Saccharomyces cerevisiae S288C: one gene and its partners. The protein of the gene in region 1 interacts with the protein of each later gene in a biochemical or structural test. Each region holds a gene or a part of one and is shown on either strand. Other genes may lie near its edges.

Region 1 (9,808 bases):
TACCCGTACCCAACGCAATCATCAGAACATGTCTAGGCTGAATGGTTTTCTTCAGCGAGTCCGACTTATGACCTGTATTAGCGCCTATGTTGTCCGAACTTTCATTTTTTTCTAGTTCTTGAGCCTGTCTAGAAGAAGGTGAGATAGCCGACGTAAGATCGTTCATTTGTGTTGCTTCTACTTCATCCTGTGGACCCTGATCCGCTCTTTTAAAGGAGTCGAAAAACCTACGCACGGCAGAAGTGTTATGCTGTTCGTAACCTAAATGAGGTTGTGAGGATGGACGGTCATTGGAGCCTGTTTCGAAATATTCAATTTCATTATCCTGCCCCGTGGCATGTATTTCTGTGGAGCTATTTTTCAAGTCTTTCAGTTCGTATAGAGACTTCGACGACGACATTGTGCGAAGCTATCTTTGTCTATATTAGCGTGCTTCTTCTATAAAGATTACATAATAAACTTGTTCTACATTGTTGTGGGCAGACCATCAAAGACAAAGCACTTATATATGTATGTAAAACAAATGAGTATTACGAGGAAAATAACAAAAAGAAACTAATCACGAAGGATATGAGTCTTGTTAGCGGACGAGGGGAAGATAGCGCAAGACACACGTATAGCCGACCTATCCTATGCATCTTAGCCGTCTTATCAGGATTGATTTGCGGTTCAGTGAAAGAGATAACCACTGCCAAGCTGGAAGAAATGGCTAGAAGGCACTAAAAAAAGAGCCTCGCAGCGCAACTTAAGAACTGTGGACTACTAAGGAGCAGCAATCCGCTGGACGTGGGGGAGTTGAAAGTTGGCCGGATACTGCAACCTGCTTATCTATGACTCGATGAGACCGTTATTTAGTGCGATGGTGCCACTGGGAGTGCCATCAACGGCAAAGTTGCAGCTTTTTGCAGCAGATCAGTGCCGCTTAGACGGCACCCTCAAGCGGCACTGAAGAACGGCGCGCTTTTTTTTTTCTTCTATTATGCCGGTCAAGGAAAAAAAGAAACCAAAAAAAAATGCCGTGGGAGGCACGGATGCAAGATTTCTCCAAAGTCCCTTTTTAGCCGCCGAGGAAATGAGGAAATAAGGGGTTAGCCGCCGAGTGAAGCCGCCGAGGTATAAAAGGGAGAATGCACACCTTCGTAAGAAGATTCTATTTGAAAGAGTGCTAGGTAAAGTCATCAAAAGGCTTATTGATATAATAATTGCTTTGCAAAATGGAAAACAAATGACTTTGAAAATGGGAGAAAACAAAAATTATATAGGTAATGTTGAGTTCTTGATTTTTTTTTTGTTTCTGTCCTTGCCACAGCTCTTTTCATGGAACATTGGGCTCTAGGATAATTTTTTTATGTTTTCTGTTATGTTTGCCATGGTAGGTTGAGGTAAAGGCGCTCTTTCAGCAATGACGATTTATGCTAATATGTTTTCCTTAAAAGGAAAACATCTCGTTCTTTTTTTCGCGTGCTGTGCAAGAAAACGCGTAACGCAGTCTTAGTAAAAGGGCTCTCTTGAAAACTACATGAAAACTAAAAAAGAAGATGTAAATTTGGATACAACAGCGTAGAATAGCATAATAGAGTGTGCAATAAACGTGTATAGGCTTGATAATAGTGCTGACGTAAATTACCAGAACTACTGCAGTATGACTGTGGCGAATACCGAGACCCATTCTGCTGCTAAACCATCGAGTACTATAGGCCCATGGAAGCTTGGTGAAACACTGGGCTTTGGTAGCACCGGCAAGGTCCAACTTGCGCAACATGAGCGCACGGGCCATAGAACAGCCGTCAAAGTAATCTCAAAGTCCATTTTCAACAACAACGGAAACCACAGTAACGACGATTCAGTGCTGCCATACAACATCGAGCGTGAGATTGTTATTATGAAACTTTTGAGCCACCCAAACGTTCTGAGTCTTTACGACGTTTGGGAAACCAACAATAACCTGTACCTTATCCTGGAATACGCCGAAAAGGGAGAACTGTTCAACTTGCTTGTGGACCACGGTCCCTTGCCCGAGCGTGAGGCCATCAATTGCTTCAGACAGATAATTATAGGCATTTCATACTGCCATGCGCTAGGAATAGTACATCGGGATTTAAAGCCAGAAAATCTTTTGCTCGATAGTTTCTATAATATCAAAATTGCGGATTTTGGTATGGCAGCTTTACAGACAGACGCCGACCTGCTAGAAACTTCTTGTGGGTCTCCTCATTATGCCGCTCCTGAGATCGTATCAGGTCTGCCCTATGAAGGATTTGCCAGCGACGTTTGGTCTTGCGGTGTAATCCTCTTTGCCCTTTTAACGGGTAGACTACCCTTCGATGAAGAAAACGGTAATGTTAGGGATTTGTTATTGAAAGTCCAAAAGGGCCAGTTTGAAATGCCCAATGACACCGAAATTTCCAGAGATGCACAAGATTTAATCGGCAAGATTCTCGTTGTAGATCCCAGGCAAAGAATAAAAATCAGAGACATCCTTAGTCATCCACTGCTAAAAAAATATCAAACCATTAAGGATTCCAAAAGTATCAAAGATTTACCTCGTGAAAATACCTATCTATATCCACTGGCTGACTCGAACAACCATACTAGCGCCTCTATCGATGATTCAATCCTACAAAACTTGGTGGTACTTTGGCATGGTAGACACGCCGATGACATCGTATCTAAACTGAAAGAGAATGGAACCAACAAAGAAAAAATTCTATATGCGCTACTATACCGTTTCAAACTGGACTCTGTAAGGGGATCGAATAAGAAGAACCGCAATAAGATAAAGAAAACCAAAAAAAATAAAAGATCTAGCACACTTTCGTCATCGTCATCATTATTATTGAACAACCGAAGCATACAATCTACGCCACGCAGACGTACATCCAAGAGGCATTCCAGGGAATTCTCTTCTAGCAGGAAGAGATCGTCCTTTTTACTGTCCTCGAATCCTACCGATAGTTCTCCAATACCTTTGAGAAGTAGTAAAAGAATTACACATATTAACGTAGCGTCTGCAAATACCCAAGCAACGCCAAGTGGTGTCCCGAATCCTCACAAGAGGAACTCAAAAAAACGGTCAAGCAAAAGATTATCTTATATGCCTAATACAAAAAGAAGCTCACTAACATCAAAATCATTATCAAACTTTACTAACCTAATAGATGATGATGATTGGGAGTACATTGAAAAGGATGCAAAGAGAACAAGTTCCAACTTCGCTACACTGATTGATGAAATATTTGAGCCTGAGAAATTTGAATTGGCGAAAAGAGAAAAGGCTGAACTTCAAAGAAAAGTTCAGGAAGCAAAAAGGCAATCAGTGAATGCACAGAAGATTAATGAGGACGAGTTTGGATCCGAAGTTTCTGATGGAATGAAAGAGCTGAAAAAAATAAATGACAAAGTGTCGTCCCCGTTGATAAATTACGAATTTTCGCAACAAGAACTATTGCAAGATATAGACACCTTACTAACGAATCGTTATCAACTTTCGTCATATACTAGGCCTATTTCGAGACTGGATCCCGGATTAACGCCTGTTACTGAGACACTTCCTAACAACCTAAAAGAAAAAACAGCTCTGCTGCAGGATACTGAAAAGAAAATAATAGAAACGATACGCAGATCCAAATTTTTAGGATCGCTACTAAATGTTAGAGGGGGACTATCGCCAGGGAAAAGTGAACTGGCACCTATCGAAGAGTCTCCCATAGTTTCAACCACACCACTAATATATAATGATCGAATGGAACCTCGTAGGATATCCGATGTGGAAGTCCCACATTTCACGAGGAAATCAAAACACTTTACTACTGCTAATAATCGGCGCTCAGTCTTATCTTTGTATGCGAAGGATTCAATCAAAGACTTAAACGAATTTTTAATAAAGGAAGATCCTGATTTGCCTCCACAAGGAAGCACTGATAACGAAAGTAGGAGCGAAGATCCCGAAATAGCCGAGAGTATCACTGATTCAAGGAATATACAATATGATGAGGATGATAGTAAGGATGGTGATAATGTGAATAATGATAATATATTGAGCGACTTTCCTCAAGGCGTTGGCATATCACAGGAATACGACATGAAGGATAAAAATCCAAACCAATCTCCAATATCAAAAAGCGCAGAGCCCACACTGGTAGTGAAACTTCCGTCTTTGAGTTCTTTCCAAGGAAAAAACGCCAGTGGGTTGGGCCTATACCAAAGAGAGCCTTCTAAGGTAACCTTACCGAGCCTTACAAGTAATAACAGCAGCGTCGGAGAAAACATAGAGGATGGGGCGGAAAAAGGGACTGAGAGTGAGAAAATCGCTGCTTCCCTGTCAGACGATGACTTGAAGGAAGATAATGACAAGAAAGATAACGACACAGTGAATGCCCCTACTACAGTAAAAAAGCCACCTAACAGCGTACTCTTGAAAAAATTCTCAAAAGGTAAAATCTTAGAACTTGAAATACATGCCAAAATACCTGAAAAGAGACTATACGAGGGCCTACATAAACTACTAGAAGGCTGGAAGCAATACGGGTTGAAAAACCTGGTGTTTAACATCACTAATATGATCATAACAGGAAAATTGGTGAATGACAGTATTTTATTTTTACGATCTACGCTTTTTGAAATAATGGTTTTACCAAATGGAGACGGTAGAAGTTTAATTAAATTCAATAAGAAAACAGGATCTACTAAAACGCTGACCAAGCTTGCTACAGAAATCCAAATTATTTTACAAAAAGAAGGTGTTTTGGACAAATAAAAAAAAGGGAGGGATAATCGATCCCCAAATGGACAATACGATGTAACACCGTTATATAATTAATAAATGTATATATGTAACTATTTTTTGAAAAAAATAAAATGGTAATTTATTAAATATTTGGACCGGTCAACAATCTCAGATATAGTTGAAAAAATCTTTAATTGTAATAGCAGAAAAAAAAAACTCCGATACGGGGAGTCGAACCCCGGTCTCCACGGTGAAAGCGTGATGTGATAGCCGTTACACTATATCGGATAACAAATTATTAAAATTATTTAATAAAAAGATGAACTAATGGTGTATAAAAACATCATAAAAACTCAACTCAACTGTTCCAATAAAATCTGCAATTTAAATTAATTATTCTGAAAAAACACGTAAATTGTTGGAATGGAACCCTAAAATATTTCCTCTTTAGTACTGTTGGAATAGAAATCAACTATCATCTACTAACTAGTATTTACATTACTAGTATATTATCATATACGGTGTTAGAAGATGACGCAAATGATGAGAAATAGTCATCTAAATTAGTGGAAGCTGAAACGCAAGGATTGATAATGTAATAGGATCAATGAATATAAACATATAAAACGGAATGAGGAATAATCGTAATATTAGTATGTAGAAATATAGATTCCATTTTGAGGATTCCTATATCCTCGAGGAGAACTTCTAGTATATTCTGTATACCTAATATTATAGCCTTTATCAACAATGGAATCCCAACAATTATCTCAACATTCACCCATTTCTCAAGTACTATTCATGTTACTTGAGAAATGGGTGAATTTTGAGATAGTTGTTGGGATTCCATTGTTGATAAAGGCTAATAATATTAGGTATACAGAATATGCTAGAGGTTCTCCTCGAGCATATAGGAATCCTCAAAATGGAATTAGCATTTCTACATAATAACCTCAATTCCCTTTTGTGGATTCACATATTCTCGATCGGAACTCCTAGCATAGTGCAGACAACACTCACATAGCTCTCCCATTTATCAAGTTGGAATTCACTCCAAGAAATTTTCTTGCTTCTCTCTTTCCCACAGAAATGAAAAGGAACAGTTTGGCGGCTATTGTTTTAGCCCTTACTTTTTGGACCCTTTGAAAAAATGCCAAGAATGCGTGACGGTTTCCCTCCATGCTCGAGAACCACAAAAACCCTATGTGGTATTCGATTATGCGACTCACGGCAAATATTTGACTTGTCAAAGTTATTCGGGATTTCCTTGAATCCCTGAGAAGTGAAATGGAAAGAATTTAAGGGCATAAATACCTTTCAAGCACCCAGAAGAACAGTAAAATAAAGCAAGGTACGTGAAATTAATATTTTTAAATGGTTCTAACCGATGCCGAAGAACTGCGCAGTCCGGTTATAACGTCTGACATGTCCTTTTTTGATTTGGAATCCAACCACTCAAGTGACTCTGTTCATTTACTTTGCGAAAAATATACCCACAAATTGCCCATCGAAAGTGAATCGCAAACCACCTTCAGACTGGCACCGACAAAGCAAAGATTATACAGACAGAGTACTTTATACGTACCGTTAAGTCTCAAGCAAAGGGTTTTCTTATTTACTGAACGGGTAAAGAGTATCTGGGCCGGCTTGCCAAGATGCAAACCGAATAAGTATTTCAAAGTTGCATTTGCCTTAGCCGTCCTGACACCATTGGCTATTTGGATATTTTATATTGACTTTCGTGTACATTGATCACATCGACTGTTCTATTGGCAAATGAACCACGGGCATTGACTATTTTTCAGGTTACTACTATATATTATTGTTGGAATAAAAATCAACTATCATCTACTAACTAGTATTTACGTTACTAGTATATTATCATATACGGTGTTAGAAGATGACGCAAATGATGAGAAATAGTCATCTAAATTAGTGGAAGCTGAAACACAAGGATTGATAATGTAATAGGATCAATGAATATTAACATATAAAATGATGATAATAATATTTATAGAATTGTGTAGAATTGCAGATTCCCTTTTATGGTGTTGGAATAAAAATCAACTATCATCTACTAACTAGTATTTACGTTACTAGTATATTATCATATACGGTGTTAGAAGATGACGCAAATGATGAGAAATAGTCATCTAAATTAGTGGAAGCTGAAACGCAAGGATTGATAATGTAATAGGATCAATGAATATTAACATATAAAATGATGATAATAATATTTATAGAATTGTATAGAATTGCAGATTCCCTTTTATGGATTCCTAAATCCTCGAGGAGAACTTCTAGTATATCTACATACCTAATATTATTGCCTTATAAAAAATGGAATCCCAACAATTACATCAAAATCCACGTTCTTTTCATATGGATTCCTAAATCCTCGAGGAGAATTTATAATATAGTCTGTATACATAATATTATAGCTTCTAACGACAATGGAATTCTAACAATTATCAAATTGTCCGCCAGTTCCTCAAAAAGATCCATGTATAATCTTCATTATTACAGCCCTCTTGACCTCTAATCATGAATGTTCTCAAATAAATCTGTTGGAATAAAAATCAACTATCATCTACTAACTAGTATTTACGTTACTAGTATATTATCATATACGGTGTTAGAAGATGACGCAAATGATGAGAAATAGTCATCTAAATTAGTGGAAGCTGAAACGCAAGGATTGATAATGTAATAGGATCAATGAATATTAACATATAAAATGATGATAATAATATTTATAGAATTGTGTAGAATTGCAGATTCCCTTTTATGGATTCCTAAATCCTCGAGGAGAACTTCTAGTATATCTACATACCTAATATTATTGCCTTATAAAAAATGGAATCCCAACAATTACATCAAAATCCACGTTCTCTTCATGGTAGCGCCTATGCTTCGGTTACTTCTAAGGAAGTCCCATCAAATCAAGATCCGTTAGCCGTTTCAGCTTCCAATTTACCGGAATTTGATAGAGATTCCACTAAGGTTAATTCTCAACAAGAGACAACACCTGGGACATCAGCTGTTCCAGAGAACCATCATCATGTCTCTCCTCAACCTGCTTCAGTACCACCTCCACAGAATGGACAGTACCAACAGCACGGCATGATGACCCCAAACAAAGCTATGGCCTCTAACTGGGCACATTACCAACAACCGTCTATGATGACGTGTTCACATTATCAAACGTCACCTGCGTATTATCAACCGGACCCACACTATCCGTTGCCACAGTATATCCCACCACTGAGTACTTCCTCACCTGATCCAATCGATTCACAGAATCAACACTCTGAAGTACCTCAAGCTGAGACAAAGGTGAGAAATAACGTCTTACCACCACACACTTTAACATCAGAAGAAAACTTTTCTACATGGGTTAAATTTTACATCAGATTTTTGAAGAACTCTAATCTCGGTGACATCATTCCAAATGACCAGGGTGAAATCAAAAGACAAATGACTTATGAAGAACATGCGTATATATACAATACCTTCCAAGCATTTGCCCCATTTCATTTATTGCCAACATGGGTAAAACAAATTTTAGAAATTAATTATGCTGACATCCTTACAGTCCTTTGTAAAAGTGTGTCCAAAATGCAAACTAACAATCAAGAATTAAAGGATTGGATAGCTCTTGCCAACCTTGAGTACGACGGAAGTACATCTGCTGATACATTTGAAATTACAGTCAGTACGATCATTCAGAGGCTAAAAGAAAACAATATCAATGTTAGCGACAGATTGGCCTGTCAACTAATACTTAAAGGTCTATCCGGTGACTTCAAATACCTACGTAATCAATATCGTACCAAAACGAACATGAAACTTTCCCAATTATTCGCTGAAATTCAGTTAATATATGACGAAAATAAAATCATGAATCTAAATAAACCGTCCCAATACAAACAACACAGCGAATACAAAAATGTTTCTCGCACATCTCCAAACACGACTAACACAAAGGTTACAACTCGTAATTATCAGAGAACAAATAGTTCAAAACCAAGAGCAGCAAAAGCTCACAATATTGCTACATCTAGTAAATTCTCAAGGGTGAACAATGATCACATTAATGAATCAACCGTTTCATCACAATACTTAAGCGATGACAACGAACTTAGTCTTAGGCCAGCAACAGAAAGAATCTAAGCCAACACACACAATAGACTCGAATGACGAACTACCTGATCACCTTCTTATTGATTCAGGAGCTTCGCAAACGCTTGTCAGATCAGCCCATTATTTACACCATGCAACACCCAATTCTGAAATAAACATAGTCGATGCTCAAAAACAAGACATTCCTATAAATGCCATTGGTAATCTTCACTTCAACTTTCAGAACGGCACCAAAACATCAATAAAAGCACTACACACACCAAACATAGCCTATGATCTATTAAGTTTGAGTGAGCTGGCTAATCAAAATATTACTGCCTGCTTTACCAGAAACACTTTAGAAAGATCGGATGGTACAGTCCTAGCTCCCATAGTCAAACATGGAGACTTTTACTGGTTATCTAAAAAATACCTAATTCCTTCGCACATTTCAAAGCTAACAATAAACAACGTCAACAAAAGCAAAAGCGTAAATAAATATCCATATCCGTTAATACATCGAATGCTTGGACATGCTAACTTCCGAAGTATTCAGAAGTCTCTTAAGAAGAATGCAGTTACATATTTGAAGGAATCGGATATTGAATGGTCTAACGCTAGCACATATCAATGTCCTGACTGTCTAATCGGCAAAAGCACGAAACATAGACATGTCAAAGGATCACGACTAAAGTACCAAGAATCATATGAGCCTTTTCAGTACTTGCATACCGATATATTTGGTCCTGTACATCACTTACCGAAAAGTGCACCTTCTTACTTTATATCGTTTACAGATGAGAAAACCAGATTCCAATGGGTGTACCCATTACACGACCGTCGTGAAGAATCTATCCTCAATGTTTTTACATCGATATTAGCATTTATTAAGAACCAATTCAATGCTCGCGTTCTAGTTATCCAGATGGATCGTGGCTCCGAGTACACTAACAAAACTCT
Region 2 (7,284 bases), on another chromosome or scaffold:
TCTATACCAGAGCTCTTTAGCGGTGCGTGTACTAAAAAGAAAAACAACGTATTACTGAAAAGTGAAACACCCAATTCAGAATTCTCTAGTAACTCACTTCAACATTGCAACTCAAGGTCGTTTTCTCTACCCAGGTCAAGATCAAGGTCTTCTGCCATTGCCATACCAACACATTTGTATGGCTTGGAAAAGTACGTTTCACCTGGGTTGGATACTTTGACTGCTGACCCAGAAGAAAGTATTGAAAGGTTTTCAAATAATCGGCCCCGTGAAATATCATCGTGTTGTCCGAACGATACAGGGGACACCTCCTCATCATTATCACATTCGAACACTTCCTCATCACTAAATTTCCCTTTAGGTACAAATACAAATCAATTCCACCAACCAAGGCAGCCAGTACAACAGCAACAGTCTTCGAAACCAAACTTTGGTGCTGGGAGGAAAAAATCTTTCATTGAGATGTCACTAGCAAGTTCCTTTGCAGGCTAACATTCTCGCCACCTTGGAATAACCGTATGATGTTCAACTTTGTTATTTATTTCCACATTCTGGATCGCCATCTGTTCGTTTTTATTAAATATAATATATACCCATTTGTATCTCCTGTTTGGTTTCCAAATTTCCATATACTTATCGCTGTCTATCATCTCCTCTCGAAGCATTTTTTTATATACTATATTATGAGAAATCTTTCTGAAAAATTATGAATTACTTTTTTCTGCTGATAGTACAACCCGCTATATACTGTTACAAGTAGTGAATAAAGAAGTAAAAAAAAAAAAACTTTCAAAGGAAAGAATATGAAGTGAACATTTTTTTCTACGATTAAGATCCCCCTGTTTCTTTTTTCTTTTTGAACCATCTTGTCAGCTTACGGGAATTTTGTTCTTTAGGAACATCTGCGTTAGGAGGTTTCCTCATTATCCTAGATAACTTTGTCGGGGAAAATCTATTCCCCAAGTTACCTTTACCTTGCGAGTTTGGAAGCGTCAAGTAATCATCCTTGGCTCCATTTTCCGATGATGTTCCATGTACCGATGTTTTGTTGCTACTCTTGGGATTCTCATCACTTACATCAATAGTCAAAAATTTACAGTAACTATCTCCAACTGTGTTATTGGATTTACTAGAGACACCTTTTGTGAAGAATTTCTGCAATCTTGCGGAAGAGTTTTCATTTGTTGGTTTATTTAGTAGTTTAAGAACAATTTCTTTTCCCTCCTTTATTTCTTCATAAAAAATTTTATGTGAGAGTGAAATGGAGTATTTTTTGTCTTCAAACAAAGTGCTGGAAGCACATTCATAACCTGACAACCGTTTTCTAATATGATTAATCCTATTATAGAGTAAACATGACTCTTGCTCCAATTCTTTCATTGCATGCTTTTCCTCTTCTGCTTTCGGGATTATAGAATTAAATTTGATGCCTGAATTAGCGCCATTATCCAAATCTCTGCTTCTGGAACCTACATCATCGCTTTTCAGTAGGTTCATTAAATCATCTCCGAAGATCTCCGTGTTGTTTTCAGTTATTTTCTCAAATTCTAACTCTCCAATTTCTGGCTTAACCTCAATTGGTGAATCCAAATCTTTTTTATCCACAGACAAATTTAGGCTGCTACCGCTTAACAGGCCCTCCTCTTCGATTAATTCTCCCTTCCCACCATTATCCATGTGATTGTATTTTTCCATCTTGGTCATATCTTCCTGACTGAAATTAACAATCAAGTTAACAAACTCAGTTTCTCTCAAATTCTTATCAAGCAGATAAGGAATCTGAGGCAAATCATCCAACATCGTTTGTTCAATGGCCAATTTGGGTCTCGAAATAGTAGAACTTAGGTTCAATATCTTTGAATTAAAATCTAGTTTCTTTTGCGTCATTTTATCAATGTAATCTAATAAGTCATTGTGTCTTTTATCGATAAAGTTATTCATCTTCATTAGCCAGGGCTCTTTGTTTGCAAACTGCGTCAAAGTGGACAGATTAAGTAAAACTTTACTTATTAGGGTAAGATTCCTTCTTGCTGTTTCGTTTAAATTTTGAGAAACATATTTGAATAGCTTAGGGTTTAATATGACTGGACAAAAAAACCTTAAAAACAATAATCCTGATATACCATTCAAAATTATTTGCAAAGTGTCATCGATACAAATTATCTCTAGTTTTTGCCTAAAGATTTTTAAAACATTTCTTATTTCAATCGGCAGGTCATTACTCGTTGCATACAGCCTTTTCCAAATCTTCGTAACCCAAGAATACAATCGTTTGTAGTTGTCGGCAATTATTTTCCTCTTTTTTACTTCATCTTTTTCTTTTACTCTAGCAGGATCCAATTCACATGATTTGTTTGACTCAATGATCTCTTTTAGTATTGCACTAAGCGCTTTACTCAAATATTCATTACCCACTCTGAAAAAGTACTGTTCAATCGACTTTGTTAAGATAGAGTTACCACGGAATAAACTGTTGAAAACATGCTTTGAGTCTAAATTTTTCTGGTTTATTCTTGAAACCGTTCCATCAATTTTAGCCAATTCTTTGTCTATAAGGACGTGGAACCATTCTTCTATTCTTGACAAAGATTGGAATATATCGAGAAAAATTATGGATGTTTGCGTCAATTTGTTATCATTCTCCATTGATGAAGAAGATTTGTAAATTAGATTGGAAACCATGGACAAGTTTGCGTTCATCAAAAGTTTTTCCAATTTAACGAAATTGGTTGACGGTAAAATGAAGTTCAAATTTGAAGAAATTTTAATACAGATTGTTCCTATTTGAAAATTTTTGTTATCAACGTCCATGATGGGTAGTCTTGTTTCCTTATTATATCTTGTATCATTTATTATTTCTTGTGTGATTTTTATTTTGCCTATCAATCGTAACCGTTTTTTATTATTGAGATCGTGGAATAACTGCTTGATTTCCAGATAAGAATTAGTAAGTCTTAAAAGTTCATTGAACTGAAACTCTTCTCTCCAAAATGGATTAGAGGAGTTTGAAACCATGGATGTTCTAGCCCATGTATGGCCCCAGGCCGTTATGTCTGTGAATATTGACCATGGCGTATTATTCTTGTCATTTAAATTGATTGACTGAAAATTAGCTTCCAGTATGGAAATTTTAAAGCTATTCGATATCTTCATATCATTTGATTTATCTGAGCCAGTAATAGATAAGTATTCCGACCTAGCGAACGATTGTAACGCTATAAAACAATCCTCCAGGTCTATTCTTAAGGGAAACTCTACAATAATTTCTTGAGAAATATCACTAGAGTTGGTGGCAGCACTGGCAATATTTTCTATGCGAAACTTTTCGAGGCCCAACTGGCTCCTTAGTAATGGCAATTCACCTAAAAACAAACTGTTTTCACTTTGTAAAACAGATGAATCCAGAATTCTTATCTCTGATCTTAAAAGCTGGCTAATATTCAATGAGTAAATCAGAGAGCCGTCACTCTGTAAAAGAAGATCTAGCATGCCGTTTGATTTAAGCACCCCCATAGCGGAAAACCAACCTACGCTGTTGTCATCATTATTAATTATATCAGGGCTTTCTAAAATATTTGTTGCTGGCGGAAGGACGATGTTCTTAACGATGGGCCCAAAAACATTCAATTTGTAAACCAGCAAACTTTCTGGTTTCGCCATTTTTTTGCTTTTAAATTCTAGAGGTCGCGATACTTGAAACTTATTAAATATACCATTTGTCTTCATTGAGCTCCACCAGATCAGACATGTTAGCAATTTCTTGAAATCACTCCAACTTTTAACTCGCAGGTAAACTTTATTATCTTTACCTGAGGTGTTTACTTGGATTATAAAATTACAATTTGCATTAATATCCTTAAAAGAGGAATGCTTATCCTTAATAATCTCGATTCTACATTGCTGTAGATGTTTGATAATTGGCTGAATATTAGTAGAGTCTGCTGTTAACTCATCGATTGAGTGGGTTAGTGCACCTGTACTGGTAATTTGCAGATAGTGTGTCTTCCAGTCGTTTAAGGACAGGTTATTACACCACTGAATCTCACCCTTAAAGGTATTCTTGTAATGCTTAACGTTGGACAAAAATTCATTCAATTTGAAATATGATGTTCGACTTTGGGCCGGTTCATTGTTGGAGCTCATAATATGATACAATCAAAGATAAACACCACGACGTATGCACGGATAAAGTTTTCAGTCTGACCGAGTAGTTATTCCTACTATTTTGTTGTTTCTTCCTCCGTTTTCATAAATGGCGTTTGTTTGGATACCTTTCTTTTTTATCGAACAGAACGCGTTCAAGAATGAAAGTCATTAATTATTATTAGATACAGAGATATACATATTATAGAGTATGCATGCTATATTCACGGAAAGCTACGACGAAGGCCTGTATCATAGTTAGCTGGTAACAGTAAATTTACCAAAAATGTTGGGAATTTCACCTTCTGGTCCGATGTATCTAGGGTCTCTCCAGGGACCAATATCGGAATAGTAGAACTTATCATTAGGGTTGTGCAAGACAGATGTACCACCATATTTAACAGGCAAGTTCTCGATTGGAATTTGTTTTAATAATTCCTTTTTATAAGAAGAGCCAAGAATAAAGATTTTTGACACGGTTACTGGATCCAAGAAGGGTTTAACCATCTTGAACATCGTCGAGAAACCAAATGGACTGTGTATAATATAAAACTTACCCATTCTTTCAGGATAATAATTTTGACTGATATCTGCAACATCTTTAATATAGGAAAGCACATGATAAGCATTAGAAAGTGAGATACCCTTCAAGTCCAGCACAGTGCACGAAGTTTCAATAAGGTAGCCAGCTCTTCTCGAACACGCTGGGACCCGGTACGTGGCAAATAATTCGTACTCCTTGACTAAGTTTCTTAGCATCTGTTTTTCGGTAGTGATCTTGTACATTTTCTTTAAGTTAATTCCTCCTAGTTCTTCGAAGTACAATGGTCTCCCATCCTTATCAACGTGATGGTAATACTGAGGGTACATTTTGGCCAATTTGATTCTTTCTTTGTCTTCGGCTTCCTTGTTGTTTTCATAATCCTCGATAATAGTGTTGGCACCGTATTCTTCCCTCCATCGTTCAGTTTCTACAAACATCTCAACGCTAGCATTGATATCAAATTTCCTTGCCCGTAGAAATCGCAATAGCGTAGAATCATCCAGCCTTTCTTTGTAATTCTTTTCTAACAAGATTGACCTAAATTGCAAAAGCGCTTCCTCTTGCTCCTTAGTCAAATTGCCGGGAGTACCTGGCAAAGCATTGGGGGAGCATATTTGAGGATAAGTATCGAGTATGCTGGTTGTCATTCTTCCTTTCCAGTTTTAACAGTGCGCAAATGTATTGCTTTTCAGATTTATTTCCCCGTTATACAAGTTCAAGGAAATGTTTGAGTAGAGAGAATCACGATCTAAATAATAATCCGAAGAATTTAAAAAGGAGTAAATAGGGGCATACAAGAGGGGGAATTTCAGAAGTGCCTGTTATGTAAAAAAGATATGATAACACATAATGGATTGCATACCAGTAAATTTCCATATGTACTATGCCGACCTCTTTTCATGTAAACGCCTTGCAAATTCATACTTAATGATTACAAGAAAGTAATATGTAAATTTTAAGCTCAGGTTCAAGGTTTATAAGGGCCTTCGTCTCTGATAGAAGAATCAAGTTGGTAAATCCAAATGGAAGTACGGGTCCCAATAGCAGGTTTGATTTTTGAAGGTGACTCGAGATATATCAGCTGCCGCCCCTGAATCAGCAGTAATTATAACTGAAGAGAACGGACAATGTTTTACGTATAATTAAGGCACATAAATTCCATCTGGAGTGTTCTGAAGTCGCTTACTTGGTGAGATATTGAGGTGTCATCAGATAGGACAATAGTAGGAGAAAGGACCATCTGGAGGTTAATCACCTGTTGTCTTACTATCCGGTCCTCAGGGTCCATAAAAAAATACTTTCAACAAAATCTGGATGCATTGAAAAGGTTGTTTTCAAACAGTCTGCAGTTTGTAATTCACCCACATGCCTTTTTTTGTATTCATATTAGCTTTTCTTGCATAATTAGGGACATATAAATCGTGCACACATGGATATTTCTTCATAATATTATAGTCTGATTGATATTCAAAATTTGAAACATTTCCATAAATAATGGATAGGGGACAGCCAAAAAAAAACTGTTGTGCTCGATCCTGAATGGAAAAGACTGACACTATAAGGAGACTTATTCTAGATATCGTAGAACAAACATATGTTACTTTAACGTCGCTGGACACTCACAGACAAGCCTCAGGGGAGACGTTTGAAACCGTAGAGGAATACGTATGAAATATAAATCAACAAACATACGTACTGAATTATGTATCAGGATATATTGCTTTCACAGTTTGGAAATTGCCTCTATCACCAAGATATTCACTGTTAAAAAAAAAAATGCGAAAAAATTCAAATTTCAACAGCGATATTCGCCTTCAGTATATCAATATAAAGCAATTATGACACCTCATTTATCGTGCATATAAGATCATGCAATGAGTATGGATAACAATGATGACCATGAATCTAAATTGTCAATCTTGATGGACATGTTTCCAGCTATTTCCAAATCCAAATTACAAGTACATTTACTTGAAAACAATAATGATTTGGATTTAACGATAGGCTTGCTGTTAAAAGAAAACGACGATAAGTCTACAGTTGATAATGAATTACATCAACTGTACGACATGTTTCCTCAGCTTGATTGCAGCGTTATAAAAGATCAGTTTGTAATAAATGAGAAGTCCGTAGAATCGACTATTTCTGATCTTCTGAATTATGAAACCCTGCAAAAACTTAAAGACAATCAAGCAAATTCTCCTGATAGCGTAAAAAGGAACGAAAAGAAAAATAATTGGGAATCAACAAACGATCACATAGAGAGTATAATAAAGTTTACCGACGCTCCCAAAAATATTGCGCAGGAATACTTAGCCGAAAATGGTTTTGATACAGTAAAGGCGATCATCAAAATCATTTTGGATTATTACGACAAAAGGGATTTTAAAAAAGATGTGGATACTTTCAAAGTAAAACGGAGTCCTAATACGACTGTGAGAGGTGGTCGAGTTCAATCATCGACGGGGCTTGCCCACGTTTTGAAAAAGGGTAAAGAATCCGCAAATGTTGCTCAAGAGAGTCTCAAAAGGCCAAGGAGTTATAAGCACTCCTTGGATAGTCCGCAGATGGTTGAGTTAAATGAATTAGTTGCAGAT
Region 3 (6,958 bases), on another chromosome or scaffold:
CACTAAAAAATATGTCAGACCACCACCAATGTTAACCTCACCTAATGACTTTCCAAATTGGGTTAAAACATACATCAAATTTTTACAAAACTCGAATCTCGGTGGTATTATTCCGACAGTAAACGGAAAACCCGTACGTCAGATCACTGATGATGAACTCACCTTCTTGTATAACACTTTTCAAATATTTGCTCCCTCTCAATTCCTACCTACCTGGGTCAAAGACATCCTATCCGTTGATTATACGGATATCATGAAAATTCTTTCCAAAAGTATTGAAAAAATGCAATCTGATACCCAAGAGGCAAACGACATTGTGACCCTGGCAAATTTGCAATATAATGGCAGTACACCTGCAGATGCATTTGAAACAAAAGTCACAAACATTATCGACAGACTGAACAATAATGGCATTCATATCAATAACAAGGTCGCATGCCAATTAATTATGAGAGGTCTATCTGGCGAATATAAATTTTTACGCTACACACGTCATCGACATCTAAATATGACAGTCGCTGAACTGTTCTTAGATATCCATGCTATTTATGAAGAACAACAGGGATCGAGAAACAGCAAACCTAATTACAGGAGAAATCCGAGTGATGAGAAGAATGATTCTCGCAGCTATACGAATACAACCAAACCCAAAGTTATAGCTCGGAATCCTCAAAAAACAAATAATTCGAAATCGAAAACAGCCAGGGCTCACAATGTATCCACATCTAATAACTCTCCCAGCACGGACAACGATTCCATCAGTAAATCAACTACTGAACCGATTCAATTGAACAATAAGCACGACCTTCATCTTAGGCCAGGAACTTACTGAATCTACGGTAAATCACACTAATCATTCTGATGATGAACTCCCTGGACACCTCCTTCTCGATTCAGGAGCATCACGAACCCTTATAAGATCTGCTCACCACATACACTCAGCATCATCTAATCCTGGCATAAACGTAGTTGATGCTCAAAAAAGAAATATACCAATTAACGCTATTGGTGACCTACAATTTCACTTCCAGGACAACACCAAAACATCAATAAAGGTATTGCACACTCCTAACATAGCCTATGACTTACTCAGTTTGAATGAATTGGCTGCAGTAGATATCACAGCATGCTTTACCAAAAACGTCTTAGAACGATCTGACGGCACTGTACTTGCACCTATCGTAAAATATGGAGACTTTTACTGGGTATCTAAAAAGTACTTGCTTCCATCAAATATCTCCGTACCCACCATCAATAATGTCCATACAAGTGAAAGTACACGCAAATATCCTTATCCTTTCATTCATCGAATGCTTGCGCATGCCAATGCACAGACAATTCGATACTCACTTAAAAATAACACCATCACGTATTTTAACGAATCAGATGTCGACTGGTCTAGTGCTATTGACTATCAATGTCCTGATTGTTTAATCGGCAAAAGCACCAAACACAGACATATCAAAGGTTCACGACTAAAATACCAAAATTCATACGAACCCTTTCAATACCTACATACTGACATATTTGGTCCAGTTCACAACCTACCAAATAGTGCACCATCCTATTTCATCTCATTTACTGATGAGACAACAAAATTCCGTTGGGTTTATCCATTACACGACCGTCGCGAGGACTCTATCCTCGATGTTTTTACTACGATACTAGCTTTTATTAAAAACCAGTTTCAGGCCAGTGTCTTGGTTATACAAATGGACCGTGGTTCTGAGTATACTAACAGAACTCTCCATAAATTCCTTGAAAAAAATGGTATAACTCCATGCTATACAACCACAGCGGATTCCCGAGCACATGGAGTCGCTGAACGGCTAAACCGTACCTTATTAGATGACTGCCGTACTCAACTGCAATGTAGTGGTTTACCGAACCATTTATGGTTCTCTGCAATCGAATTTTCTACTATTGTGAGAAATTCACTAGCTTCACCTAAAAGCAAAAAATCTGCAAGACAACATGCTGGCTTGGCAGGACTTGATATCAGTACTTTGTTACCTTTCGGTCAACCTGTTATCGTCAATGATCACAACCCTAACTCCAAAATACATCCTCGTGGCATCCCAGGCTACGCTCTACATCCGTCTCGAAACTCTTATGGATATATCATCTATCTTCCATCCTTAAAGAAGACAGTAGATACAACTAACTATGTTATTCTTCAGGGCAAGGAATCCAGATTAGATCAATTCAATTACGACGCACTCACTTTCGATGAAGACTTAAACCGTTTAACTGCTTCATATCATTCGTTCATTGCGTCAAATGAGATCCAAGAATCCAATGATCTTAACATAGAATCTGACCATGACTTCCAATCCGACATTGAACTACATCCTGAGCAACCGAGAAATGTCCTTTCAAAAGCTGTGAGTCCAACCGATTCCACACCTCCGTCAACTCATACTGAAGATTCGAAACGTGTTTCTAAAACCAATATTCGCGCACCCAGAGAAGTTGACCCCAACATATCTGAATCTAATATTCTTCCATCAAAGAAGAGATCTAGCACCCCCCAAATTTCCAATATCGAGAGTACCGGTTCGGGTGGTATGCATAAATTAAATGTTCCTTTACTTGCTCCCATGTCCCAATCTAACACACATGAGTCGTCGCACGCCAGTAAATCTAAAGATTTCAGACACTCAGACTCGTACAGTGAAAATGAGACTAATCATACAAACGTACCAATATCCAGTACGGGTGGTACCAACAACAAAACTGTTCCGCAGATAAGTGACCAAGAGACTGAGAAAAGGATTATACACCGTTCACCTTCAATCGATGCTTCTCCACCGGAAAATAATTCATCGCACAATATTGTTCCTATCAAAACGCCAACTACTGTTTCTGAACAGAATACCGAGGAATCTATCATCGCTGATCTCCCACTCCCTGATCTACCTCCAGAATCTCCTACCGAATTCCCTGACCCATTTAAAGAACTCCCACCGATAAATTCTCATCAAACTAATTCCAGTTTGGGTGGTATTGGTGACTCTAATGCCTATACTACTATCAACAGTAAGAAAAGATCATTAGAAGATAATGAAACTGAAATTAAGGTATCACGAGACACATGGAATACTAAGAATATGCGTAGTTTAGAACCTCCGAGATCGAAGAAACGAATTCACCTGATTGCAGCTGTAAAAGCAGTAAAATCAATCAAACCAATACGGACAACCTTAAGATACGATGAGGCAATCACCTATAATAAAGATATTAAAGAAAAGGAAAAATATATCGAAGCATACCACAAAGAAGTCAACCAACTATTGAAAATGAATACTTGGGACACTGACAAATATTATGACAGAAAAGAAATAGACCCTAAAAGAGTAATAAATTCAATGTTTATCTTCAACAGGAAACGTGACGGTACTCATAAAGCTAGATTTGTTGCAAGAGGTGATATTCAGCATCCTGACACTTACGACTCAGGCATGCAATCCAATACCGTACATCACTATGCATTAATGACATCCCTGTCACTTGCATTAGACAATAACTACTATATTACACAATTAGACATATCTTCGGCATATTTGTATGCAGACATCAAAGAAGAATTATACATAAGACCTCCACCACATTTAGGAATGAATGATAAGTTGATACGTTTGAAGAAATCACTTTATGGATTGAAACAAAGTGGAGCGAACTGGTACGAAACTATCAAATCATACCTGATAAAACAGTGTGGTATGGAAGAAGTTCGTGGATGGTCATGCGTATTTAAGAATAGTCAAGTAACAATTTGCTTATTCGTTGATGATATGATATTGTTCAGCAAAGACTTAAATGCAAATAAGAAAATCATAACAACACTCAAGAAACAATACGATACAAAGATAATAAATCTGGGTGAAGGTGATAACGAAATTCAGTACGACATACTTGGATTAGAGATCAAATATCAAAGAAGCAAGTACATGAAATTAGGTATGGAAAAATCCTTGACAGAAAAATTACCCAAACTAAACGTACCTTTGAACCCAAAAGGAAAGAAACTTAGAGCTCCAGGTCAACCAGGTCATTATATAGACCAGGATGAACTAGAAATAGATGAAGATGAATACAAAGAGAAAGTGCATGAAATGCAAAAGTTGATTGGTCTAGCTTCATATGTTGGATATAAATTTAGATTTGACTTACTATACTACATCAACACACTTGCTCAACATATACTATTCCCCTCTAGGCAAGTTTTAGACATGACATATGAGTTAATACAATTCATGTGGGACACTAGAGATAAACAATTAATATGGCACAAAAACAAACCTACCAAGCCAGATAATAAACTAGTCGCAATAAGCGATGCTTCATATGGTAACCAACCATATTACAAGTCACAAATTGGTAACATTTTCCTACTCAACGGAAAAGTGATTGGAGGAAAGTCGACAAAGGCTTCGTTAACATGCACTTCAACTACAGAAGCAGAAATACACGCAGTCAGTGAAGCTATTCCGCTATTGAATAACCTCAGTCACCTTGTGCAAGAACTTAACAAGAAACCAATTATTAAAGGCTCACTTACTGATAGTAGATCAACGATCAGTATAATTAAGTCTACAAATGAAGAGAAATTTAGAAACAGATTTTTTGGCACAAAGGCAATGAGACTTAGAGATGAAGTATCAGGTAATAATTTATACGTATACTACATCGAGACCAAGAAGAACATTGCTGATGTGATGACAAAACCTCTTCCGATAAAAACATTTAAACTATTAACAAACAAATGGATTCATTAGATCTATTACATTATGGGTGGTATGTTGGAATAAAAATCAACTATCATCTACTAACTAGTATTTACGTTACTAGTATATTATCATATACGGTGTTAGAAGATGACGCAAATGATGAGAAATAGTCATCTAAATTAGTGGAAGCTGAAACGCAAGGATTGATAATGTAATAGGATCAATGAATATTAACATATAAAACGATGATAATAATATTTATAGAATTGTGTAGAATTGCAGATTCCCTTTTATGGATTCCTAAATCCTCGAGGAGAACTTCTAGTATATTCTGTATACCTAATATTATAGCCTTTATCAACAATGGAATCCCAACAATTATCTAATTACCCACATATATCTCAATAACAAAACGAACAACATGAGATAAAACACGGCCTTCCCTAGCTGAACTACCCAAACGTATAAATGCTTGAACAATTAGTTTAGATCCGAGATTCCGCGCTTCCACCACTTAGTATGATTCATATTTTATATAATATATAAGATAAGTGACATTCCGTGAATTAATCTGATAAACTGTTTTGACAACTGGTTACTTCCCTAAGACTGTTTATATTAGGATTGTCAAGACACTGCGGTATTACTCGAGCCCGTAATACAACAATACACAGTTGTTACGGTCCTATAGTGTAGTGGTTATCACTTTCGGTTTTGATCCGGACAACCCCGGTTCGAATCCGGGTAGGACCTTTTTTAACTGTGGCTTCTCTGTTGAACCATCAGTTACTTTTTTTTTTTTTCAGAGAATGTGTGCCGGGTCATGAGATGCCAAACTAAGAGGTCATTAAAATATATTTCAAAGACTAAATGTGTTCTTTTCAGGTTCCATCTGCATTTTCTTTTAACTACACCTCGTACTGTTATAAACGCCACCAAGCAAGATATTACACAGCAGCAAAACTTTTTCAGGAAATGCCTGTTATTGAAATTAACGATCAAGAGCAATTTACTTACCTAACTACCACTGCGGCCGGCGACAAGTTAATCGTGCTTTATTTCCATACCAGTTGGGCAGAACCATGCAAAGCATTAAAGCAGGTTTTTGAGGCCATTAGTAATGAGCCTTCCAATTCCAACGTCTCTTTCTTATCCATTGATGCGGACGAAAACTCGGAAATTTCAGAACTTTTTGAAATCTCAGCTGTTCCATATTTTATCATAATTCACAAAGGGACAATCTTAAAAGAATTATCCGGCGCGGATCCAAAGGAGTATGTGTCTTTATTAGAAGACTGCAAGAACTCAGTCAATTCCGGATCATCACAAACTCATACTATGGAAAATGCAAACGTAAATGAGGGGAGTCATAATGATGAAGACGATGACGACGAAGAAGAGGAAGAAGAAACTGAGGAGCAAATAAACGCTAGATTGACTAAATTGGTCAATGCCGCGCCGGTAATGTTATTTATGAAGGGGAGCCCCTCTGAACCTAAATGCGGGTTTTCGAGACAACTTGTGGGTATCTTGAGAGAACATCAAGTAAGATTTGGCTTCTTTGATATATTAAGAGACGAATCTGTTAGACAAAACTTGAAAAAGTTTTCTGAATGGCCAACTTTCCCTCAACTTTATATAAATGGGGAGTTTCAAGGCGGTTTAGACATTATCAAGGAATCCTTGGAGGAAGACCCTGATTTTTTGCAGCATGCTCTCCAATCTTAAATAAATAGATGTATTTAGTGTAAATTGAAACAGAAAAGTCTCCATTTCCAACTAATGGTATGCAAGCATTTTTATATGTGTGACATAATGAATGGCTTCTGGTTAAGTTTGGCTTTTTGAACAACCATTGCCCGGAGAAAATAAACGCGTGAGCAGTAGCTGATACGCGTCTCACTTTTTCATAAATTCATGTATAGGTCATCGCCATATAGAGAAAATATTTGAAATTACATCTGTTGAAACTAATAAGAGCTTTTCCTTGGAGCCTTCTTTGCTAACAGATAAGATTTTTTAATTGGAGCAACTAGTTAATTTTGACAAAGCCAATTTGAACTCCAAAATGGCCCCAGCTACCCCTAAAACTTCTAAGACTGCACACTTCGAAAATGGCTCCACATCTTCTCAAAAGAAAATGAAGCAATCGAGTTTGTTATCTTTTTTCTCAAAACAGGTACCTTCTGGCACACCGTCAAAGAAGGTCCAGAAGCCTACTCCAGCGA
Region 4 (7,070 bases), on another chromosome or scaffold:
AACCCATATTTATATCAAATGGAAGAAGCGTCCATTAAGAAAAAAGCAAAAAAAGCTGTACCTGCTATTATGGAGAGGAGTAAGCGCTTTTCTCATTAACGTAAAAAGAGAGGTAAGAAAAAAAAGGAAGGGGACCTAGGCACCTCATAGTGAGAAGATTGAAAACGGCGTATCAAACAAATGGTTAAAATGAGAAGAATAACACCTACACGCCTCCTATTCACATGCAGATATATTTCAAACAATGCTTCTCCACCAGTGCAGCCCTTGAATGTGCTTTTCTTTGGTAGCGACACTTTCAGTAATTTCTCATTGCAAGCACTCAATGAGTTGCGTCAAAATAATGGAAGCTGTGGTATAGTGGACAATATTCAAGTAGTAACTAGGTCGCCGAAGTGGTGCGGTAGACAGAAGTCTATTTTGAAATACCCGCCGATCTTCGATATGGCAGAGAAGCTTCAATTGCCACGCCCAATTACATGCGACACCAAGCAGGAAATGTTGGCGCTAAGCAAACTGACACCCAGTCGCCAAGGAAATCCGGAGAACGACGGCTCCGGTGCTCCGTTCAACGCGATCATTGCGGTTTCTTTTGGGAAGCTCATTCCGGGTGACTTGATCCGCGCGGTGCCATTGGCGCTAAACGTCCATCCTTCGCTACTTCCCAGACATAAAGGCAGTGCACCTATCCAGCGAGCTCTGCTCGAGGGTGACACTTACACCGGTGTAACTATACAGACACTGCATCCGGATCGGTTTGACCATGGTGCAATTGTAGCGCAGACGGAGCCACTGGCGATCGCAACAATGCTGTCAAAAGGGAGAGTCAATGATTCGACGGCAGATTTTAATTCTGAGGGCCTGCCTCGGAGGACTGCCATACTGATGGACCAGTTGGGCGCCCTTGGCGCCCAACTTTTGGGCCAAACGCTTCGTGAGAGGTTATATCTACCACAGAACCGTGTGCAAGCGCCAACAGCTTACAAACCCAGTTACGCCCACCGTATAACAACAGAAGATAAACGCATTCATTGGGCGCGCGATTCTGCCGCCGAACTACTTAACAAACTCGAAACGCTCGGTCCTCTGCACGCGTTCAAAGAAGCGACAGCGGCAAGAAAGGACGCTCAAAATTCAGTATTAAAACGAATATTGTTTCATGAGTGTAAAGTGATGAGAGACGCACGTCTAGATAATGGCAGTAAACCGGGCATGTTCAAATATGATGATATTAAAGACTGTATTTTGGTCACCTGTCGCGGCAACTTACTACTATGTGTGAGCCGCCTCCAGTTCGAAGGTTTCGCCGTAGAACGTGCTGGCCAGTTCATGGCGCGCCTGCGGAAAAGATGCGGCGCCCTGAGTGAAAAGTTAGTTTTCCTGTAACCCGGCTCTACATTCCTCTTTTAGTATTCTTCTTCTCCCTTCTTTCAATCCCTCATCCATCGGTCTCTCAACAACTATGGCTGCCAAGCCCTACGCGCTATGAAGAAAAAGAAAAGTAGGCCCGCCTTCTTTCCCAGTTGCAGTTTATTTATGATTCGGAAAGATTGATGTTAGTAATGGCTTGTAGTTCATAACAGAGTGAATTAAGTGTAGGAAGCCCGGAATTAAATATATAGTAAAAAGAGCACAGGGGCGTTTACATCGGGGTAAAAAAAAATGCCTGCACCAAAACTCACGGAGAAATTTGCCTCTTCCAAGAGCACACAGAAAACTACGAATTACAGTTCCATCGAGGCCAAAAGCGTCAAGACGTCGGCTGATCAGGCATACATCTACCAAGAGCCTAGCGCTACCAAGAAGATACTTTACTCCATCGCCACATGGCTGTTGTACAACATCTTCCACTGCTTCTTTAGAGAAATCAGAGGCCGGGGCAGTTTCAAGGTACCGCAACAGGGACCGGTGATCTTTGTTGCGGCTCCGCATGCTAACCAGTTCGTCGACCCTGTAATCCTTATGGGCGAGGTGAAGAAATCTGTCAACAGACGTGTGTCCTTCTTGATTGCGGAGAGCTCATTAAAGCAACCCCCCATAGGGTTTTTGGCTAGTTTCTTCATGGCCATAGGCGTGGTAAGGCCGCAGGATAATTTGAAACCGGCAGAAGGTACTATCCGCGTAGATCCAACAGACTACAAGAGAGTTATCGGCCACGACACGCATTTCTTGACTGATTGTATGCCAAAGGGTCTCATCGGGTTACCCAAATCAATGGGATTTGGAGAAATCCAGTCCATAGAAAGTGACACGAGTTTGACCCTAAGAAAAGAGTTCAAAATGGCCAAACCAGAGATTAAAACTGCTTTACTCACCGGCACTACTTATAAATATGCCGCTAAAGTCGACCAATCTTGCGTTTACCATAGAGTTTTTGAGCATTTGGCCCATAACAACTGCATTGGGATCTTTCCTGAAGGTGGGTCCCACGACAGAACAAACTTGTTGCCCCTGAAAGCAGGTGTGGCGATTATGGCTCTTGGTTGCATGGATAAGCATCCTGACGTCAATGTTAAGATTGTTCCCTGCGGTATGAATTATTTCCATCCACATAAGTTCAGGTCGAGAGCGGTTGTTGAATTCGGTGACCCCATTGAAATACCGAAGGAACTAGTCGCCAAGTACCACAACCCGGAAACGAACAGAGATGCAGTGAAAGAATTATTAGATACCATATCGAAGGGTTTACAATCCGTTACCGTTACATGTTCTGATTATGAAACTTTGATGGTGGTTCAAACGATAAGAAGACTATATATGACACAATTTAGCACCAAGTTACCGTTGCCCTTGATTGTGGAAATGAACAGAAGAATGGTCAAAGGTTACGAATTCTATAGAAACGATCCTAAAATAGCGGACTTGACCAAAGATATAATGGCATATAATGCCGCCTTGAGACACTATAATCTTCCTGATCACCTTGTGGAGGAGGCAAAGGTAAATTTCGCAAAAAACCTCGGACTTGTTTTTTTTAGATCCATCGGGCTCTGCATCCTCTTTTCGTTAGCCATGCCAGGTATCATTATGTTCTCACCTGTCTTCATATTAGCCAAGAGAATTTCTCAAGAAAAGGCCCGTACCGCTTTGTCCAAGTCTACAGTTAAAATAAAGGCTAACGATGTCATTGCCACGTGGAAAATCTTGATTGGGATGGGATTTGCGCCCTTGCTTTACATCTTTTGGTCCGTTTTAATCACTTATTACCTCAGACATAAACCATGGAATAAAATATATGTTTTTTCCGGGTCTTACATCTCGTGTGTTATAGTCACGTATTCCGCCTTAATCGTGGGTGATATTGGTATGGATGGTTTCAAATCTTTGAGACCACTGGTTTTATCTCTTACATCTCCAAAGGGCTTGCAAAAGCTACAAAAGGATCGTAGAAATCTGGCAGAAAGAATAATCGAAGTTGTAAATAACTTTGGAAGCGAATTATTCCCCGATTTCGATAGTGCCGCCCTACGTGAAGAATTCGACGTCATCGATGAAGAGGAAGAAGATCGAAAAACCTCAGAATTGAATCGCAGGAAAATGCTAAGAAAACAGAAAATAAAAAGACAAGAAAAAGATTCGTCATCACCTATCATCAGCCAACGTGACAACCACGATGCCTATGAACACCATAACCAAGATTCCGATGGCGTCTCATTGGTCAATAGTGACAATTCCCTCTCTAACATTCCATTATTCTCTTCTACTTTTCATCGTAAGTCAGAGTCTTCCTTAGCTTCGACATCCGTTGCACCTTCTTCTTCCTCCGAATTTGAGGTAGAAAACGAAATCTTGGAGGAAAAAAATGGATTAGCAAGTAAAATCGCACAGGCCGTCTTAAACAAGAGAATTGGTGAAAATACTGCCAGGGAAGAGGAAGAGGAAGAAGAAGAGGAAGAAGAAGAAGAGGAAGAAGAAGAAGAAGGGAAAGAAGGAGATGCGTAGATGCCATTTACTGACGGTGAAGATACTAGAAACTAAATCTTTCGCCGTTCTATTTATGTAATAAACCCATTATTGCTCATTGGGAGTTGTAAATATTAATGCTCAATGTTTATGTATATCCCTCGCACAGGGGCTTTTTATTTCTTGAGGGGGGGACTAATTGTATAATTGTATGTTTTATAAAAAAGTATATTGCTCTTTTACGACTTTTGGTCTGGTCCCCTATGCTACTAATAACATTTTATTCTCTTCAAACTTCAACGTTCAACCTGCTTTGCCGAGACGGCGATTAGTATCCTACCCAACTGAACCTTTTCTTTTTGTTTCGCTTTTTGTTATACAATGCAATTTCGTCTCGCTGTAGTCTTTGGGTATGTCCTGTCAAATTCGTCACTACATTTTCAAAAGTTGTCTTATCCTTTAGGAGGTCTCGCTGTTGTTTCTTCAATGATCTTGATTTACTAACCAAAAAGTCAATGGATTGACACAATGTATCGTGGTATTGGCGTAAAGATTCTTCATCCATACTAGTAAAATCTGCCATAAGCAATTGCGGTATATGCTGCTCTTGCTCACGCTCCTCTTCCTTTTGAAGAGATTTTAAAGTCATTGGTGGTGTATAGTCAATTTTGAAATTATCCCTCAGGAAGAGACCAGTAGCCGTTTGCTCATTTTTCTCCACTGCATCGCATATCCTTTTGAACAACTCATCATTCAACGGTTCTTCCTCCCTCTTCGTACCAACACCCTCAGAGCCATTATTATCCGATAATCTCAAAATGTGGAGCAAGTTTCTGCGTATATGAGATTTATTCCATATGAATGGCTGTAACACAGGATCTAATTGTACGAGTTGTTCATAAATGACATGGGGTCGTTCATCTTCAATAAGTTTGCTCAGCTTGAAACAGTCATTCTTTATGGTTTCTTCTTCCAGGTCAAATTCTCCCTTTGGTAGTATCTTATTCAAGCAGTTATCTACTACAGATTCGGAAGACGTCGTTAAAGTAGAATTCTGGTTATAGAGGTCATTTTCAACTGAGGCATCTGAAAAATTCCCAAAATCATCACTAGAATCACTTTCTGCATCTAATGCATTTGTGACAGGTTCTATCTGATCTCTATCGCTCATTTGCTTGCTTTGAAAGAGGTGCCTTTTTCTATCTTGCTACACCTTAAATTCTCGTTTGTGATACGCCTAACGTTTTTTTTTTTTTTCAGTTTTGATAGCAATTCGCGAAACTTTTTGTAACATCTTCTCTTCTCGAAAAGCGAAAATAGTAAACAATAACTTAAAGCGTATTGGTATTAATATATTTAGTTGTAGTAAAATCATTTCACCAAACACACATACATGCGCTATTTGTATTGAGAAAATGAATTTTGATGCGGTAGCAGATCAACAGATGACTGACAGAAGGTATTTTGCTCTCGAAGTAGCAGAAAGCGATGATGCCGACAGCTCATTAAATTCTTCATCCATGGGAAGCCCCGCAGTGGATGTAGGAAGAAAAGTTTACAAAATCACTTCGCACAAGGGTTCAGCAGAAGATGAGAGTCAATCCTTTTTTACTTCTTCAGATTCTCCAACATCCAAAACAAGGCCTGTAGGTAAAACCATCGAAAACGATGATTACTATGGTAAAAGATCTTCTACAGGTTCATCGCTCAAACAACTCTTCAATAAAATTAATATTAATGATACCGCTCACTCTTCAAACAAAGAAAATGTATCTCAGTCGGTGCTATCGGAAAACAAGCTGCTCTCTCCATCTAAAAGGTTGTCGAAGCAAGGTCTTACAAAGGTGACTAACTCCAAGTTTCGTACACCCTTGAGACCTATTTCAAACCAATCGACTTTATCAAGGGATGAGCCTGTTAAAGATTTTAGATCACTTAAGTTTCGGAGCGGTAGTGATTTCAAATGCTGGGGTGACGAGAAGACAAGTTCTCATGTTCATTCATCCAGTGTGAACTCAGTTAATTCCTTTACTTCTACCACCTCTTCTTCAAAGTGGAAGTTCTGGAAAAATGATAACCTATTGTCGAGGTCGCTATCTTCCAGATCTGTGAATGACCAAGATCCGAACTTTGTTCAGCCAAAACCAACCAATTCGTTACAAAAGAAGTCTTCAATTTCAAGTTTTCACAATTCTATTTTTGGTGGTGGCAAACACACAGAGAAGAAGAGGAATTCTGGATTTATTATGCCCGATCATCAGAGCACGAAGGAGCTAAACCACAAACATTCATCATCGAACCTTTCCTTTAGAAGTTTGAAGCATAAAACATCACATTCTTCACTAAATAAGCTCAAAGTAAGGCGTAAAGGAAATACACAAGAACTGAATCATCCGATCAAAAAAACTTGCCAAATATCATTGCCTGTTCCAGACCAAGTCTCAAAGGACAAGATTCAACTGAAATTGAAAAATTCAACATCATTGGCATCCTTATCTTCAGAAGTCACTCCCATAAACACTTTGGACTACAATGATTCAATTTTGCAACAAATATTACAACTTTGTGATGTTAAGTATATATTACATGATCTACGTGAAGCTCAGTCATTAGGCTTGTTTACGTTGAATACTAGATCGGTTCAGCTGTCTCATAACTTTTGGCAAACTTATCATAGCGATATGCAAACTTCACTCATTTGCAAGAAAGTATGTCTAGGGGCTCTAAGTGATTTGACTACTTCAAACTTGATATCCTTACATGAATTGAAATCATTACGGTTAATACAAGGAACTAGCGGTGTCGCCAATTTACTGCAAGCTTATGTTGTGCCCTCAAATCAATGTGAAAATGACCAAAACTTGATACTGTACTTATTTTTCAAATACCAGGGAACTCCTCTATCAAGGTGCTCTAACATTGATTACTCTCAAGCATTGTCTATTTTCTGGCAGTGCAGCAGTATTTTATATGTTGCTGAATCCAAATTTCAGCTCGAACACAGGAATCTAACTTTGGACCATATTTTGATAGACTCTAAAGGGAATGTTACTTTAATTGATATGAAGTGCTGTCGTTTCTTGAATATAGACAACAATAAGGCTTCCTATACAAGATTAGACCATCATTATTTCTTCCAAGGCCGGGGGACTCTTCAATTCGAGATA

The links.
Region 2: the proteins of KCC4 (region 1) and YKL091C form a complex in vitro, tested with the Saccharomyces cerevisiae proteins (one large-scale study listed by BioGRID).
Region 3: the proteins of KCC4 (region 1) and GRX3 form a complex in vitro, tested with the Saccharomyces cerevisiae proteins (one large-scale study listed by BioGRID).
Region 4: the proteins of KCC4 (region 1) and SCT1 form a complex in vitro, tested with the Saccharomyces cerevisiae proteins (one large-scale study listed by BioGRID).

The regions. Positions count from the first base shown.
Region 1 is NC_001135.5:77,520-87,327, forward strand, and holds KCC4 (serine/threonine protein kinase), read left to right. Parts: upstream 1-1,642; coding exon 1,643-4,756; downstream 4,757-9,808. Other genes in the region: amino acid transporter AGP1, read right to left, coding at 1-400; YCL021W-A (uncharacterized protein), read left to right, coding at 6,101-6,478; YCL020W (gag protein), read left to right, coding at 7,583-8,899. UniProt on the Saccharomyces cerevisiae protein: Involved in regulation of bud growth during cell cycle and in septin organization. Plays a role in cell wall synthesis.
Region 2 is NC_001143.9:265,317-272,600, forward strand, and holds YKL091C (phosphatidylinositol/phosphatidylcholine-binding protein), read right to left. Parts: upstream 5,335-7,284; coding exon 4,402-5,334; downstream 1-4,401. Other genes in the region: MBR1 (Mbr1p), read left to right, coding at 1-492; GTPase-activating protein BUD2, read right to left, coding at 829-4,143; CUE2 (Cue2p), read left to right, coding at 6,562-7,284.
Region 3 is NC_001136.10:643,678-650,635, reverse strand, and holds GRX3 (monothiol glutaredoxin GRX3), read left to right. Parts: upstream 1-5,705; coding exon 5,706-6,458; downstream 6,459-6,958. Other genes in the region: YDR098C-A (gag protein), read left to right, coding at 1-832; mismatch repair ATPase MSH6, read left to right, coding at 6,799-6,958.
Region 4 is NC_001134.8:201,876-208,945, forward strand, and holds SCT1 (bifunctional glycerol-3-phosphate/glycerone-phosphate O-acyltransferase SCT1), read left to right. Parts: upstream 1-1,662; coding exon 1,663-3,942; downstream 3,943-7,070. Other genes in the region: FMT1 (methionyl-tRNA formyltransferase), read left to right, coding at 181-1,386; LAA2 (Laa2p), read right to left, coding at 4,232-5,074; protein kinase ALK2, read left to right, coding at 5,319-7,070. UniProt on the Saccharomyces cerevisiae protein: Dual substrate-specific glycerol-3-phosphate/dihydroxyacetone phosphate sn-1 acyltransferase, catalyzing the first and committed reaction in the de novo synthesis of glycerophospholipids and triacylglycerols (TAGs).